Linked DNA regions of Caenorhabditis elegans. The protein of the gene in region 2 purifies or fractionates together with the protein of the main gene of each other region. This does not show direct contact. Each region holds a gene or a part of one and is shown on either strand. Other genes may lie near its edges.

What was found. The genes of interacting proteins can lie anywhere in the genome.
Region 1: the proteins of tmed-10 (region 2) and copb-1 fractionate together in Caenorhabditis elegans (co-fractionation; one large-scale study listed by BioGRID). This does not show direct contact.

Annotation. Positions count from the first base shown.
Region 1 is NC_003280.10:3,077,030-3,081,824, reverse strand, and holds the start of copb-1 (Coatomer subunit beta), read right to left. Parts: upstream 3,030-4,795; 5' UTR 3,020-3,029; coding exon 2,527-3,019; intron 1,438-2,526; coding exon 1,229-1,437; intron 568-1,228; coding exon 485-567; intron 1-484.
Region 2 is NC_003283.11:11,323,434-11,328,852, reverse strand, and holds tmed-10 (GOLD domain-containing protein), read left to right. Parts: upstream 1-1,888; 5' UTR 1,889-1,906; coding exon 1,907-2,011; intron 2,012-2,131; coding exon 2,132-2,194; intron 2,195-2,244; coding exon 2,245-2,569; intron 2,570-4,449; coding exon 4,450-4,571; 3' UTR 4,572-4,888; downstream 4,889-5,419. Other genes in the region: str-141 (Serpentine receptor class r-10), read left to right, coding at 5,033-5,212, 5,285-5,366.

The DNA.
Region 1 (4,795 bases), on a different chromosome or scaffold from region 2:
AGGTTTTGGAGGTCTCAAAACTGCAATTATCTGATTTTTCGCCTATTTTTTTTTGACAAAAATCGCGGAATTTTCAAGATTTCGGGGTCTAAAGACGGTAATTTTCTAACTTTTTATCTTTTTTTTTTTCAGAAAAACGCGAAATTTTCACGGTTTTGGGGCTTTTGGCGTCTAAAACTCGATTTTTTTGAGAATTTTGATAGGTTTTTCAAGAAAAAATAAAGATTTAATTATTTTTCAGCTTATTAACGAAAAAATTGCACAATTTCCAGGTTTTGGAGCATTTTTTTCGAAAAAAAAAAACTCAACATTTTTCATTTTTTCAGGCTATTTTTCGAGAAAATCGCTGAATTTTTAAGGTTTTGGGGTCTAAAAATCGTAATTTTCCAGTTTTTTCGCTAAAATCGCACAATTTTTATGGTGTTGGCGATTTTTTGTCCATTTTTTCCAGGAAAATCCGTCATTTTTCCAAGATTTTCCTCACCTAACGGCTGGTGATGATGACTGAAGAAGATTGTAGACACATCTGATGAATCGGGAAGCCTCGTTTGGATTATTGTGGCAAACCTGAAAGAAAATTGGAGTTTTTGGATGATTTCGGCCATTTTTTTTCAGTTTTTTCGGTTAAAATTGGAGGAAAATCATATTTTTCGATAAATTTATCGTATTTTCGTTGAAAAAACCAATTTTTAGTTAATTTTAAAATTAAAAATCGATTTTCACACATTTTTATAGTGAAATTTCTAGATTTTCACGATTTTTCTGAGATTTTTGCTTAAAAGTTCATATTTTCATTCAATTTTCATAAAAAGCGACGTTTTAAATGAAAATTCTCCGTTTTTTTAAAACAAAAATAGCCTGTTTAACAAGTTTTTCTCAAAAAATCGATATTTTCAATCAATTTTCTTGAAAATCGCCGTTTTTAATGTAAATTCTCCATTTTTCAACGAAAAAACGCCATTTTTATAGCTTTTTTACTCTAAAATTCACATTTTCAGTTAATTTTCATAAAAAAAGTGCCGTTTTTAATGGAAATTCTCCGTTTTTTAACAAAAAAAAAAACCCCATTTTTACAGGGTTTTGTCAGATTTTTCCTTAAAAAACCGCAATTTTCTTGAAAATCGCCGTTTTTAATGAAAATTCTTCGATTTTCAACGAAAAAAACCCCATTTTTACGGGTTTTTTCTCAAAAAATCGATATTTTCAGTCAATTTTCCACAGAATGCACCTTATAAATGAGTTCAACAATAACGAGCTGCAATATATCTCCAAAAGATCCGACTTGATCGATACATCCCGATAAATAGTCAAGAGCACGAGCTTGATCTACGTGAAGGAGCATCATAAAAGCGTTACGCTTGCACGAAGCATCTTGCTCCTGTTCAAGGTATTCTGTGACGAGCTCCGGTGCGTCTGGGATCAGGAATTCAAAGTTTTCTGGAAAAAAAGCGGGATTTTTGGATTAAACGGGGAAAAAATGATCAAAAAATGCGAAAAAATCACCTAATTTTAGCTAAAATCATTAATTTTGGTCAATTTTCCGGTCCCGAAGTTGGTTTTTTCTCAAATTTTCACCTTTTATTGCATATTTCCATTGATTTTTCGTTAATTAAGGTGCATTTCAAGACCAAACTCGCATTTTTAGCTGAAAAATACGATTTTTCCTGGTTTTTTTGCAGAAAATATGACATTTTTAGCTGGAAATCTGCAAGTTTTTCAGGTTTTTCCCTGAAAAATTCGATTTTTCTGCTTAAAATAACGAAATTTTACGTATTTTTAGCTTAAAACATCAAAAAGTCGAATTTTTTTTCCATCTTCCAGCTTAATAATCGATTTTTGGCAACAAAAATCAGACAAAATGCTCATTTTTCAGCTGAATATTGGCATTTTTGCCGTTTTTCAGCGAAAAATAGTCAGAATTTCGTTGGAAATGTGATTTTTCTTGAAAAATCATGAAAAATCGTATTTTTCAGCAAAAAAACTGAAAAAAAAACCCCAAATTTTAGCTGAAAATGGGATTTTTGCCATTTTTGGCTGACAAAATCGCATTTTCAGCTAAAAATGTGTTTTTTGGCATAAAAATTGTAAAAAATCGTATTTTTCAGCTCAAAAAACATGAGAAATCGCAATTTTCACCAAAAAAAACTGAAGAAACCTTCAAATTTCGGCTAAAAATGCGATTTTTGCCATTTTTGGCTGAAAAATTCGCCAATTTTCAGCTAATAAAGGGATTTTTTCGCAAAAAATCGCAAATTTCACCGAAAATGAGCCTAGAAAATCGCATTTTGGAGCAAAAAATCAAAAATCTTAAGAAACCCTCAAATTTCGGCTAAAAATGCGATTTTAGCCGTTCTTGGCTGAAAAATTCGCCAATTTTCAGCTAAAAATGCGATTTTTTGCAATAAATGTACCTTTTATCAACTAAATAACGTAAAATATGCAATAAAAGGTGAAAATTCTTGGAAAAAAGTCATTTTTCGCATTTTCAAGCCCATTTCAGGCCTAAATAAGCCCAAAAAAACTCACTATAAATAGTGAAAATCGCGCAGACAGCGTTACGACGAACATACGAGTGCCGATGCTCCAAACAAGCTCTAATCGCCGGCATAAGCGGCTCGAGAAGCTCGGGCTCACGGAGTTTGCACAAAAACCGAAGGGTCGAACCGCGAACGAACTCATTCGGGTGTTGAAGGTCTTTTCGGTAGGCATCGCACACCAGAATCATCTCGTGGAGCAGCTTTCCATTGGAATCCGTCTTCGGAACACATTCCCAGAAGATCAAGAGCACTTTTTTAAGGGTGTGCTCATTGGATGGAAGACAGAAGCGGATGACGTACATTAGCATGCTCTGCGACGTTTTTTCTCCGTTTAAAATCATGTAAATGAGCTTTTTGAGCGCCTCAATTCGCTCTTTATCGCCTCCTTTCTCGAATTTTTCCTTCAATTGAGCTTCTGATGGGAGCTCAGCGTCACTGGGCACGTGGATGAGTGTGTAGCATGGTTGCTCTCCGGAGCTCATTGTGGAGGAGCTGGAAATTCGGGTTTTTTGTGGGGAAAAGAAAGAAAAAAGTAGAGAAAGTTCACGTTTTAAAAAAAAATTTGTGAAAAAATTGAATTTTCCAGCTAAATCGCATTTTTCTGTGAAAAATCATCGAAAATCATCGAAAAACGCCAGAAAATGAATAAAAATCGTCAAAATACGCTGGAAAACCCCCGAAAATCGCCTTTAAGCATGAAAAATGCCCAAAAACGTCAGAAAATGGATAAAAATCATCAAAAAACGCTGTAAATGACAAGAAAATCACTCTGAAGCATGAAAAATGCTCAAAAACATCAGAAAAATCAAAAACATCAGAAAAATTGAATTTTTGACCATTTTTAACCCTAAAACTCTTCGAAATCCAGCTGAAAACCCGATTTTTTAGTCAAAAATTCCGTTTTTTGGCGTAAAAATCGGAAAATCCCGGCTTTTAACCTAAAAATTAGGTGTTTACTGAAAATTTCCAAATTTTCGGCTAACAATCCCCATTTTCAATCGATTTTTTCCATTTTTCACTGAAAAAATCAATTTTTTAGCTTAAAAATCGAAAAATATCGGTTTTTAAGCTAAAAAATCAGATTTTTACTGAAAATTTCCAAATTTTCGGCTAAAAATCCCCATTTTCAATCGATTTTTTCCATTTTTCACTGAAAAAATCAATTTTTTAGCTTAAAAATCGAAAAATATCGGTTTTTAAGCTAAAAAAATCAGATTTTTACTGAAAATTTCCAAATTTTCGGCTAAAAATCCCCATTTTCAATCGATTTTTTCCATTTTTTCAGTAAAAAATGCCAAATTTTTTACTAAAAATGCAAATTTTCTGACTGTTCTTGTAAAAAAATTGAAAAAATTCAATTTTTTGGACAATTGTATGCAAAATTCGCCTTTCCCTCGGTTTTTTTTTGTGGTAAAACCCCGCGAAAATTCGCTTTTTTTGCCTTAAAACTTAATTTTTAATGGAAAAAAAAACGCGAAAAGTTGCAAAAATCCACAAAAAATGCGATTTTTGTTAGTTTTAGCTGAAAAAAATTGCATTTTTCAGCTAGAAATCTGAAAAATCACACAAATTGTTGCTAATAATGCAATTTTTGCCAGTTTTGGCTGAAAAAATTGCATTTTTCAGAAAAAAATACTGAGAAAACCACCAAAATTCTGCTGATAATGGGATTTTTTGTCGTTTTTGCCTGAAAAAATCGCATTTTTCAGCAAAAACTGTAACTTTTTCTGCAAAAAACACAGAAAATCGAATTTCTAATGGAAAAAAATCGCAAAAATCCACAGAAAACTACGGAAAAAGTTGCGAAACTTGATTTTTCACAAAATTCTCTCATTTCGCCTGGTTTTTATTGATTTTTTGACAGAAATCTAGGCTTTAAAGCTGTAAAACCCAATTTTCAACGACAAATTGATTTAAATTGACCTAATTCAACGCCACGTCACTTTTCACTCTTTCTACCTGTTTTTTATCGATTTTTGCCGCTTTTTCGACTGAAATATAGCTTTAAAAGCTTCAAAAATCAATTTTTAACCTCAAAAACCCACGAAAAAACGAAAAAATCCGCTGAAAACCGGCAAAAATCCACGTAAATCGCCGGAAAAAGATTGGAATCTAGATTTCTCGCACAGTGACGTGGTTCTCGCCATCCACCGTACCCCGTGACACAGCGGCGGGCAAATCGTGGCGAGACCCGGCCGCATTTTGAAATGTGATAATTTACACGGAAATCGACACAAAAAGCTTAAGTTCTCTCGGTT
Region 2 (5,419 bases):
ATATTATTTTCCACAGCGCCTCAGATCGGGAGAGAAGAGCTAAAGAAGTGGTTTTGGCGCGGGAGCGCGTTTGCTGCAGACGTCGCACGAATTGGAATTAATGTGTAACAAAACAGTAAAATATCGCGTTTTTGCTGGATTTTAGGGATTTTAAAGCAATTTTCAACATGCGGGACCGCCCAGAGACTGTTCGCGATGCGATTTACTTCATTTTAATATAAATTTTCCCCCAAATAAGCTCGAAATGAGCTCTGAATTTCGGCGGATCTGAAAATTTTTTTTGACCAAAAACAGAATTTTGCAAATAAAAATTGATTTTAGAGCAATTTATTGCATAAATATTCAATTTTAGAATTTTTACTAATAGTTTGAATCTTTTTAAAGTGTTTTAGTCATTAATTTGACTGATAACACAGAAAATGATTTTTCTTTACAACGAAATCGATAAAAAAGTAAAGCAACATTTATCAAGGGAAATCTTGCAAAATTGGTTAAAAAACTTGTATGAAATCAAAGATTTCACTAGAATAAAGCTACAAATCAATCAAAATCACTAAAAGTACAAATAGTTCTGATCAAATTTCAATGTTCCAATCTACCAATGGATCTATGCCACGCCAAATTTCTTATGCAAGTGTTGCTCTCCAATTTTCCTTAAAAAATGGATCAAATACTCACATAAATGATCAAATTAACATTTTTTACAAGTTTCGTGTTATATTTTCTTTTTCTTAATAAGGAACCATCAGGTTCTTCCTGCCCTCTACGGCTCTAGATACCTCAACTTCGACAACTCCTATCTACTCGGAGAGGTGAGAGAACTTGTAGAGCACATCAAAAACTATGATATTCAATTTAACCTGCGTTTTTATCTTTCAAGATGGGGGAGTTAGACGTACATTTGTATTGCATGCTTTTTGTTATTCTACTGGCTGCTCTAACTCCCTCATCTTAAGAGATAAACACATGATTTTAACTAATTAGTATAGTTTCTACAATTTCCTAGTTAATCACTTTTTGATATCTTGCATCTCTGAGGAGATAGGAGTTGTCGAAGATACAGTATCTATAGCTATGCGCATATGAAGAATCTAATGGATTCTCATCATGCTATACTACTTATCATCTGCTTTTTGTGGGAAACAATGATTCAAAAATGTTTTTTCAAATGATCAAACAAGTTGTGATTTGATCTGAACATTTAGTGTTGGTTTAGTGAAGATCAGCTGCCAACTAAACAGTTTCCGTTGATGTGGGCATTTTTGAACAATTTCAAGACGTGAAACCGTGTTATCTCTATCAAGCTGACGTTTAAAAATTGGAATCAAACATATTAATGCTTGAAAAAATTTGTTTCGCGTAGAAATTTTGTCATAAAGTTAACTTGTTCTAGTCGGTTCGAAAATCAATGAAAAAGCAGCCAAATCGTGAATTTGTTGAATAAAATGTTTTTTAAAACTTTTTTAAAGCAATAATAATCCCAATATTTAATTATTTTTTCCAAATTTCATCTTGAAAACTCGAATAATCGCGAAATTTCGTCTGAAACTCATTTAATACCGTAAAAGTGTGCAAACGCGCTCCGTTGGACTTTCCTATTCTCGATTTTCTTAACTCTCCCGATTTGAGGCGCTGTGTTTTCCTGTTAAAATGCGTTTGTCAACGTTGACAACTCAACTACGGTTGCCAATGCGTGTTTGCGTACACACTCGATCCCACGCGCAACTGCATACGCCGCGTTGGTTTTAATTCCATCTTTTTTAAATTTATTTTCGGCGTTTGTATTGATTTTTGCTGTGTATTCCTTTAACATGAACTGATTTTTGTCCATGATAACTTTTGAACAACTTAATATTCATTATCGCATTTTTCTTACATTTATTTCCAGGTAATCATCCGAACAATTATGAAATCTCTAGTTATCTTTCTGTCAGCTATCGTTCTTGCCCATTCTCTGAGGTTCTACGTGCCACCAAAAGAGAAAAAGTGTCTGAAAGAGGAAATTCACAAGGTAAATACTTTTACAACTCCTTGTTACCATAGCAGTAAAGATGTCAAACATACTTTTTTTCGTTAAAAATTGATATATTTAATAAACATCAGAATTTATGTCTAATAAAACCTCTTGCAGAATGTGGTCGTAACAGGAGAATATGAGTTCAGTCAAGGAATTCAATACACTGGAAGTATTCACGTGAGTAAAAATAGTTTCAAAATTACTTCAAATTTTTAATTTATTTTCAGGTCACCGACACCAGAGGCCACACTCTCTACAAACGTGAAAACTTTGCTGATCTAAAAGGAAAATTCGCGTTCACTGCTGACGAATACGACATCTTTGAGATTTGCATTGAGAATCATCCACCAGCTGGGCATCCTGGAGAGAAGCGCGAGGTTTCTCTTATTTTGAAGCACGGAGTCGAAGCCAAGAATTATGATGATATTGCCAAAGCCGAGAAGCTGAAGCCACTCGAGGTTGAACTTAGAAGATTGGAGGATATGGCTGATTCAATCACCAAAGATTTCGCATTCATGCGCCAAAGAGAGGAAGAAATGAGAAATACGAACGGTAAGTGTTTAAAAAATCATTTGAATCATATAAAAGGTTCGTAATTATTTTAATTTAAAAATAATGCATTGCCGATTATCCAAGTACAGTGCTCCACATAATGATACGGCCACCCCCAAATTTTGGTATAACTCAAAACTGGGTTGAGATAGCAAAACATAATTTCTTGTGAAAATGTCCGCTGTACTGGCTAACTTTCAGATAAGTATTGGAAATATACATGAACCGTTCGTAAAAAAAGATAAACCATTTTTTCATGAAAATCCATATAAAAAAATCCACAAAATGATACGGCCACCCTTGGTTATTGTTTTCTTTTTTCGTTTTCTTTGCAATTTTTTTTGCTAAACGTTAGGTTTCATGTTCGTTTGTGTTTTTACAGCTATGTGTCGTGGAATAACTTTAACTGACTACGGAAAAAGACAAATTGTGCAAAATTATCTCAAGGCTTTTCGGATCGTCAGATTTCTCGTGATTTGAAACGTTCGAGAGATATGATCATTCGATATGCTTCAAATCCTGCCGCTCATTGCACCAAACAGTCTTCTGGTCGCCCACCACTTCTTTCTGGTAGAGACAAGCGAAAAATCGTTCGTCGAGCATCAAATTGAACAGTGACTTTCTCAAAAATTAGGCGCGAGATGAACCTGCCAGTGTCTGTTGAGACTGCACGACGTGTTCTTTCGAATTCCCAGTTTATCAAAAGACGAAAATTGAGAAAGGCTCCTTTCATTACCGAAAAAACCGCTAAAATCGTATTCAGTTAGCTAAAATCAGCCAGAGAACTAACTGGAGACAAGTGAAGATTACCGTATGATCATTCAAGCCCAATTTTGGTTTTAGTTCATCTTTTCTTCTCTCAAATCGTACCAGTAATCACGGTAGCCTTCTGGTTCATCACAGTTAAACTTTTCCTCGTCACTGAAGATGATCTGAGACCAATACATGAGCTTGAATGATCATACCGTAATCCTCACTTGTCTCCAGTTAGTTCTCTGGCTGATTTTAGCAAACTGAATACGACTTTGGCAGTGTTTTTCGGTAATGAAAGGAGCCTTTCCTAATTTTCGTCTTTTGATAAACTGAGACTTCGAAATAACACGTCGTGCAGTCTCAACAGACACTGGCAGGTTCATCTCGCGCCTAATTTTTGAGCAAGTCACTGTTCAATTGGATGCTAGACGAACGATTTTTCGCTTGTCTCTACCAGAAAGAAGTGGTGGGCGACCAGAAGACTTTTTGGTGCAATAAGTGGCAGGATTTGAAGCAAATCGAGTGATCATATCTCTTGAACGTTTCAAATCACGAAAAATCTGACGATCCGAAAAGCCTTGAGATAATTTTGCACAATTCGTCTTTTTCCGTAGTCAGTTAAAGTTATTCCACGACACATAGCTGTAAAAACACAAACGAACATAAAACCTAACGTTTAGCAAAAAAAAATTGCAAAGAAAACGAAAAAAGAAAACAAAAACCAAGGGTGGCCGTATCATTTTGTGGATTTTTTTATATGGATTTTCATGAAAAAATGGTTTATCTTTTTTTACGAACGGTTCATGTATATTTCCAATACTTATCTGAAAGTTAGCCAGTACAGCGGACATTTTCACAAGAAATTATGTTTTGCTATCTCAACCCAGTTTTGAGTTATACCAAAATTTGGGGGTGGCCGTATCATTATGTGGAGCACTGTATTAAGCTTTTATTATCATTGTTAATTAAATAGATTTGTAAGGCTACAACATATCGTTTCGAGACGCAATTCATTCTCTTCACGGAGCAGGATATTGTGATCCCTGGAAATTGTTTACCACTTTACTTGAGCAAACTCTAATTATTCGATTCATCGACAACCATCTATTTTTTACTTTTTTTTACAGAATCGACAAACAGCCGAGTTCTTTACCTGTCCATCTTTTCAATGCTGTGCCTTCTTGGTCTTGCCATTTGGCAAGTTCTTTTCCTCCGTAATTACTTCAAGTCGAAAAAGCTTATCGACTAGATTTCCCCAACCCTTAATTTATGATTAATTTATCAATTTTTTTTTCGGTTCTCCTCAACTTCTTGCTTTTCCCCCAACATCTCTTTTGTCCACACACCCAAACGTTTCATGTGATTTCTAATTGGTTCCCACATCTTTTTTACTAGATAATGATGATAATGAGTATTTTATTTTGTTGGATTTTAGTTGTTTCCTCCCCCGTTAATCTGCACAAGTATCAACAAAGGGTAAAATGTATAGTGTGTAATGTTTCCGTCTTATTTTTCTGTTTTCATCATTGCCGTTTTTTAAAATCATTATTATGAACTTTTAAATTGAAACATTGAAACATCAATTGGTAATTTACTCACCATATGGTGATTTAGTAAAGTACATAAGATCACTTTTCAAGAAGTCTTTTTCAGACGTCATCCTTTCAGAAATAACTTCAGACTTCATTCTCCACCAGTTCACTTACAACAATGATCGGTCTACATATTTTCCACTACGCCGGCTTTTTCGGAGCACAAATCTTCAATACTGTTCTGGCAATATTAATTGTGAAAAGAGCTGGAAAACTGTTTGGTAGTTACCGTCATGTTATGTTTGTATTCACATTTTGTTCGATGTTGTACTCTGCAGTAGAGATAATTGCACAGCCGGTACGATACAATAGAAAATTGGAACTTGAAATTGAAATTTTGAGAATGTTACTTCAAATAATCGTCTTTCAGGTACTATACATGAAAGGTCCAATGTTTGTCGTGTTTCTTGATAATAACGTTTTTTCTCAAGGCATTGGAAATGTAGTTGCTTGTTAGTTTTAAACATTTTACTTTTCATAGAACTCTTAAACAAAAAATGAATTT